2 linked regions of the Diceros bicornis minor genome follow. The protein of the gene in region 1 interacts with the protein of each later gene in a pairwise test. Links are inferred from orthologs where the notes say so. Each region holds a gene or a part of one and is shown in the gene's direction. Other genes may lie near its edges.

Region 1 (3,745 bases):
AGGAGATTTGGGCCACTGTCACTCTCTGGCCTCCCGCGCCTCGAATTCTCTCTTTTGGTCTCCTTCCAACGGGAGGGAGTGAGGATCCACCTTGGGCTTCAAGGTCCTGCAGGCATCGGGAGCACCAAGTGGGTGTCGGGTGATTGGAAGCAGTGGGGAAGGGAGATGTGGTGTCACCAGTCCCGACCACTGGCAGCGCGCGCGCGTGAACAGGGAAAAGGCGCCGGTCTCCCGTGTTTCTCCCGCCTCTCATTTCTCCCTAGACACTGCCAGGGCTGTCCCGGGTGACTCAGAGTTGCCCGGGGTCGCGTGGATGCCCGTCCCCATCCTCCCTGGATAGCCTGCTTCCGCGTCCCACAGCGCCCCGCACACCCGCCACGTCCCCGGCCCGCGGCGCTCGGGGGCGGCCCCCTACCCGGAAGGTGTGGGTGCACGGGTGGGAAACATTAACCACCACCACACCGCCCACAAAAAAGCCCCCAAAGCAAAAACCGCTGTACACCCATGGCAGGCGGGGCCCGGCGCCAAGGTGAGCTGTTCGTTCGCCGCCGAGGCGGCGATTCCCCCGGACAGCTGCGGCAGCGACAGCAGCTGCGCGGCCGCCAGCTCGGCCCTCTTCCTTCCTCCGCCCTCTCCGGCCGCCGCACCCCCACCTCTTCCCCTCTCCCTGCCTCCTCCCTTCTTGCCCTCTCGCGGGCCACGCACACAGCCGGGACACCCTCGGCACTCGGCTGCTCACACTGCGGCTTAGCCTGGCCGACCTGGCACCGTGGCCACGGCGGCTCGGGGAGCGTGCGGGGCGCAGGGGCGGCAGCCCAGCGGGCTGGGGTGGAGCCCCTCTCCTCCCAGCCGCGACCCCCTGCCCACGCTGCTCCCCTAATCCCGGCCTCGCAGCCACACGAGCACCTGAGCGGGGACCGGGCGGCGGAGGCGCAGGCCCGCCGGCCTGGCCTCGGAGAAAACAGCGGGGGCGGGGCGGCCAGGAGGAGGGGCGGGGCGCGCGGGAGGCAGTGAGTGACGCGCGCGCCAGCCAACCAGCGCCCGCCGCTCCGACGTGGGGCGGGAGCGGGTGGGCTCCGCGGGGAGGAGGCAGGGGCCCGGGCGCGGGAGGCGGGGGCCGGCGGGAGGAAGGGGAGGAGGCGGAGGCGGGCGAGGCGGCGGCGGCGGTGGCGGCGGCGGCGGAGGGCAGGCTGCGCCGGGACTGTCTGCCGAGCTCCGCGGCGGTGCCTGTGAGTGCAGGAGCGCGGGAGGCAGAGGGGAGCGCGGCGAGCGCGGCGCGGGACGTCTCCGGCGGCGCGGACAGCGGCGCTGGGTGTGGGGAAGCAGCGGCAGCAGCAGCGGCGGCCGCCTTTCCGCCGCCGGGGACGCCGAGGCGCGGCTGGTGGCACTGACATCGCGGCCCTGCCTCTCCTCCCTCGCCCCCGGCCCTCCCCATGTGATCGGCTTTAATCCCGGCAGTGTGCGCGCGTGGGGCTCCATTCCGCGGTGCCCGGTCTCCGTGCCAGGGTGGGTGCTCGGTGTGCGCTTCTCCTCCCCATCCCCCTTCCCCCAAGAATAAAAGAAGAACCGAGAGGCGTGCTCAGAAAATAAATAAATAACCAGCACACACGCGCAGCCCGGAGCGGAGTCGGCGGGGCTGGCGGCGGAGGAGGAGTGAGGCGGCGGCGGCGCGGGGACGCGCGGAGAGGCAGCAACTTTGAAGCCAGCTCAGAGCGCGGAGCTCCGGCCGAGCGGCGTGCAGCGCGGCGGCGGCGGCGTTGAGTGTCCCGCCGGTCCGGTCGGGGTGTGCAGTCGGACGGACGAGCAGCGCGTCGCTGTCCCCCGGCGGCTGGAGATGTCCGAGCCCAAGGCAATTGATCCCAAGTTGTCGACGACCGACAGGGTGGTGAAAGGTAAGCGGCGCGCCGCGGCCGCCGGGTGCACCGGGTGCCGCAGGCTCCTGGGCGGCTCGCTGCCCCTCCCCCGCCCGGGTTCTCCTGCTCCAGCCGCCGACCTTCTAGGATATTGTGCAACCCTGAAACCCCTTCCCCCACGCCTCCCACCCTGCCCACTTGGGGCATTTTTATTGACGGGGGCGTCAGTTGGCAAATGGCTGAGCCGCGGGCAGGCGGCGGCGGGGGTGGCGGTGGCGGGAGGGGGCGCCCGGGGGGTGGTTGCTGGCAGGGTGTAGCTGCTGTGACAGAAATAGGAAGTGGGTGGCTGCTCGCAGCCTTGCATGGGATCGGGTTTATGGTTTTCTTTTGCAGAGGGAGGGGTGATTTATGGCTGAAAAAAAATTAATGTGGCATTTTTATGTGGCCGTGGCTTTCCACCGACTGCCTCGCTCGGGCACGGTTCTCTCGGCGCCCCATTGCAGCAGTTCCCTCGGCGGCGCCCCCTCCGCCTCGCCCTGCCCTGGAAGGGCCTGCACAGGACTCGCGAGAGGGCGGGAGAGCGTGGGGGAGCCGGGCGCTCCCTGGGGCGCGGGGCCGGGGCGGCGAGGGGGCGCGCGGGGCGGGGAGCCTCCCGGGGCCCGCCGCCCCCGCCCCGGGATTCCCCCGCAGGCCTGAGACCGACGCGGGAGGCAGTTCCCCCCGCCGCCTCCCCCGCCGGCCTGTCACGCTCTTGAATGGTCCCGGCTGGAGCACGCCTCCCGGCGGTAGCCTCGCCTCCTCCGGGCCTCCGGCACCCCCTCGTTAACGGGCTGTTTGATTCCTAATACTGGCTCTTCTCCCCTGCCCCGGATCACATACCCTTGGCAGAGATGGCTCTGGGATTTCTGGCGAAGAGAAGCCGGGGGCCTGGGGTGAGGAAGGGGACAGGCAGTGGTCTCCTGCTCCCTTGCACGGGGGACTCCGCAGTCGTCTCGTCTTCCCTGTTGGGTGGGGGAGGAAGCATCCTACGAATCCTGGAAGGATGAGACAACAGAGCAGATCAGCCAGGATTAAGTAGCGTCCCTCATTCCTGGGGTCAGGACGCGGAGCAAAGCAGGGATGGACATGGGCTAGGTGCGGAGCGGGCCTCTGAAATTGGAAACAGCGCTGGCTGGTGTAGAGGGAGAGAGAGAGTGTGTGTATGTGTTTATTGTATGTAGAACAGAGATAGTATCTGATGTGGCCAGAGATTGCAAGTAGAGTGCAAGGCAATAAAGTCATTTGCACCATGAGCACTTAGGTGAAGTAACCCCGCAGCCTAAAGACCAGGAATCTTCTTCTGGGGCTCAGAACTGTTCATCGGTTCCAGTCAGGTCTGCTCAGTTTTTAAAGTAATGCGTGTGTGTGTGTGTCTTGTGTGTGTTCGTGATGATGGGGGAAATTGTGTTCTCTTTTGTAAGAAAGAATAAAATATCTTCTTTTGTTTTGGTTGTATTAGAATCATTCCTGCTTCAGTGCAGTATTCATAGATCCATGAAAATAAGGAAGAAATATCTCTGCAAAAATGACTCAAAATAGGACTACAGATGCACAACTATTCTTTCTGCAGGCATGGATCCTCATGTAAACAGTGAATTCAGAGTCATTCAGAAAAACTATGTTTTGCATTAAGGGCTTCTGTTGACATTTTCAAAAATTAAGACTGCTGAAGTATCAGAGAATAACAAATATCTATCTAATGTGTGATGGTTAGGTGTAACCCCTGTCTGTATGTTAAGATCACCTATTTTCAAAACAACTAATGTAAAGCTTACAATTCAAATGACAGCAGTAATCACTCATATGTGTGCACATAAGGTTATGTTTCCTGTTTTAAATTACAAAGTGTGGAT
Region 2 (3,745 bases), on another chromosome or scaffold:
TTCGAAACTGGCAGTAGGCAGGGTTAGCTTTTCACAGACTGGGGTTTGCTGAATGAACAAAGATAAATTGAATTCTTAATACAACTAGACTAAATGCTTATAGATTTTCCTGTTTTACAGCTCTGGTCTCTAAATTTTATCGGTAAATTTAAAATCCAGACGACTTAGATTCAGCTTTGCTATTGTGTCCTAATAGTTCTTTCCTTAATAAGTCTCAGTGGAAGCTATAGAATCTTAGAAAGGTAAAATATATTCCTGGGAAAACATCCAAAAATGGATAACCAAGATTTACGCTCCCAAAGACCATGATCCTGTGGAAGAAAGGAGAGAAGTACAGCTGCTTTTCAGTAGTCCTTCCCTCCACCTTCATCTGGGTGGTGTGCCTGGGAGAGGCCAGAGGGGGAGGCAAGAACTGTGCATCTTGCAGGGCCTCACAGCTGCAGCTCCAAGGAATGCCCTTGTAGGTAATGGGAGACCCAAGGACAGTCACCCTAAGCAATCACAGCAGCACCTTTCCTGGGGGATATGGTAATGCTTTATGTGCACAGATAAATGCTTGTGATGCTTTCCACTATGGCCAGCAACTTGTTTAGATCAAGACTCAGAAAATGCATGAAAATATACGACCTAACCAGTCAGGCAGGAGAGGAGATGTCACGCGTGCCCTTTGAGGAAAGCCATCTCCTGTTGGCGACCCTCGCTCAATTGAGAGGGACAAGGTTAAGTAGGCATCTAGGAATATCCTGAAGGGAAACACGGGTAACTCGTAAGCTGCCTTAACTTATTTTTGGAAATATATAAGGTATAAAAGATGGGTGGGGCTGGGTTCCTGTGCCCTTCTGACCTCGCCCGCACACAGGTCGCATCATCGCTACCTGCCCTCTAGACTAGGGAGACAAGGGTCTGAGTCTCGGGCCTCTGAGAGCCTGTTTGGCAATGAACCATGGTAACCTCATTACACCCAAACGCACACCTGGGAAAGTTTTGTTTTTTTCTGTTTCAATTCATATATTTAATTTTCTCTCCAAATAAACGAGACTTCACTCTGCACGGTTTTGAATCCTACTTTTAAAATGTGCTTTCTGCTGTGTCTTTAAATATTCGGGGGCGGGGGGGTTATAACGGCAGTGCTACTTTGCGTCTCAGAAAATGCGAGGCTAACTACCCTGGTCGCCTCCCCATCTGCCGGCTCTCTCTCGGTGGTCCCCTGCCCTGGCCCGGATGAGGTCGCGCCGCAGGATTCGCGCCCAGGCTAGGGGCGCAAAGGTCTGCTCCCGCGCGGCTGGGCACGCGGCTGGCAGGTGGCCTCCAATCCCTCTGCGCCCCTCCGCCCCCGGCCTGGCCCCGCCCCGCGCCCGCCCGCTCCGCGCGCATTGGTGCCGCCGCCTGTCGGTCCCCGCGCTCTGGGGAGGGGGCGCCGCGGGGCTGCGGTCCCTCTGCAGAGGGCTCCTTGCTCCGGCTGCGACCGTGACTTCCCGGCTCCCTGGGCGCCTGGCCCCGCGAGCGCCCCCCCGACCTCGGCAGCGGGGTCGGACAGGGACCCCGGCGCCCTCGGTAAGTGGAGGGCGAGGAGATTGCGGGAGAAGAGGGTGCGGGCCACTGTCCGGTCCGCTGACCGCCTGGGCGGTGGAGAGGGCGGGAGATCCACTGGACACTGGGAACCCGGGCCCCCCGAGATGGCCGAGGTAAGAACCGGGAAGGCCGTCAGTCCAGGCATCTCAGCCAGCGCGACCCTGCTCAGCTCTGCCCACCTACCCTCTTCGGGTTACAGCCCGTCCTAGAAGCATGGGTTGCCGGTAGCCTTTTTCCTTCTTTACCCTTTTTTGGGGGAAATGTGATTTTGGGTTCCTGGCCATTATAATTGTGCAGATAGATTGAAGCTGGGTTACCTGCTCCACGCCCCTGGCACTTTCCGTTTTGAGTACTTGATGCTGCGCGCTGGCTCCTGCCACGAGGCGCACCGAGCCAGGAGAGACGCCTTCCTCCAGGAGGAAGCTTCGTCCACATCTGGCTCTGGGAGAGATTCGCTGGGTTGCGCTTTGCCTCTGTGCTTCTCTGCTCAAGGAAAAAGGGAAGGGGCATTTTCTGTGGCATTGGACTTATGATTCTCTCAGGAAATGATAACAGGGAGTTTAAGATTACTGAGGCGATAAAACTATCCCTGCAGGTTAAAGACGAATCGTTTGCAGTCTAACATTCTGCAAAGTTTTATTGTCTACAGGCTGCATTTTCCCCATTTCAGTTAGGTTTTTGTTTGAATATTTGTTTTATTTCTACAGTGTGGTAGACATTCAAGTGAGCTTCACAAACAGTTATTGTCTTTGGGCAATCCAGGTTAGTTTCAAATGATACGTTCCTAAACGTGATCTAATTACATCCTCTGGTTAATAAAAACTCTTAGGCACTGAGAACTCAAGAGAGGTGAGAAGACAAAGAGAGCTATAACCAGCTGTGGTTCTGGTGCTTATGGAAGCATTATATGAGGAGGGACACAGTAAAATGTTCGCATTTTAGCTCCATTCTTGTTCTAGGATGACTTTGTCTTTCTGTTAGAGGCATGGAGTATGTAGCAGCCAACCTAAGGGTATATTTACTTAGATCATAAACTGATTTTCAGAGTTCCAGTTCCTTCTGTGGTTCATAGAATCAAGAGCTACTGAAATAAACCTTCAACAATGAAGGATTTACATAAAAACAGTACAAGGAAAGAGTCTCTTTGCTTATTTTAGGACATCCGTCAACTAAAATTCTTAGGAATTTTGGTAGATGATCACTTCATATCTCTGTTCATTGGTACCGTCATACCATTCTGTGGATTAATTTTAAAATATACCTGTATATTTATATATAACTAATCAGTTTGCCAATTGCATAGCCTATTAATGTATATTTGGCTTTCAAATTACTTCCAGAACCAAGAAAATAAAATATAAAGAATTTCAAAAGCTCGATTTTCAAATAGCAAGAATTCAGTCTAATCTTGGTTTAATTATGAGTTGATGGGCTTGTGTTATGGTTAAATGGCTGTTAAACAATTTTATAAATTTTTGACTAGTGAATCTAGTGCAGATTAGCATCGCCAAGCAATTCATTTTTCTGACGAAACTCTTAAAGCCCAGTTTCAGAGCACAGGCTTCAGAAACAGGCAATCTTGGGTTGAATCTGAGCTCTGTTACCTACTAGCTGTGTAATCTCAGGCACATTGCTTAACCTCTCAAGCCCCAGTGTCTTCATCTGTTGATGGTGATACCACCACCTACTTACTTTGGAGTGTTGTGGGGAGGAATAGAGATGTATGTAAAAGTGCTCAGCGCTTCCTAATACACAGGAGTTGCTCAATAAATGTCAGCTATTATTATCATTCACTCTGACTGACCTGCAACTCTGTGCTCATTGTGGAGAATGTCTGAACAGCAGATACTTGGGGGAAAAATGTCAAGATTATACAAGTAAATTTAAGAGTGGAAAATGACAGTAATGTTAAATTTCCCAAGAGTATGTATGAAAAGTAGCACCTCGTTGGCGGAACATACGTTTTTAGAACAGAAGCCTTATGGTATAATGGGAAGAACACTGGAGAGTCAGAGTCTTCAGTTCTAACTCTGGCTGTGACCTTATCTAACTGGCTTTTGGCAGGCCAACTGCCCACTCTGGAGCTCAGTTTCTCCATCGGGCTGGACTTGAATAATCTCTAAGATCCTTTGCAGCTTCAGAATTCGTTATTGCATGTAATAAAAATTACACT

Evidence for each region.
Region 2: the proteins of PPP3CA (region 1) and AKAP5 interact in binary tests that used the Homo sapiens proteins (3 or more experiments, as listed by UniProt). The link is inferred for Diceros bicornis minor from reciprocal best matches to the Homo sapiens genes PPP3CA and AKAP5.

Annotation. Positions count from the first base shown.
Region 1 is NC_080747.1:83,915,131-83,918,875, reverse strand, and holds the start of PPP3CA (protein phosphatase 3 catalytic subunit alpha), read left to right. Parts: upstream 1-1,284; 5' UTR 1,285-1,834; coding exon 1,835-1,892; intron 1,893-3,745. UniProt on the Homo sapiens protein: Calcium-dependent, calmodulin-stimulated protein phosphatase which plays an essential role in the transduction of intracellular Ca(2+)-mediated signals. Many of the substrates contain a PxIxIT motif and/or a LxVP motif.
Region 2 is NC_080763.1:13,546,418-13,550,162, forward strand, and holds the start of AKAP5 (A-kinase anchor protein 5), read left to right. Parts: upstream 1-1,511; 5' UTR 1,512-1,554; intron 1,555-3,745. UniProt on the Homo sapiens protein: Multivalent scaffold protein that anchors the cAMP-dependent protein kinase/PKA to cytoskeletal and/or organelle-associated proteins, targeting the signal carried by cAMP to specific intracellular effectors.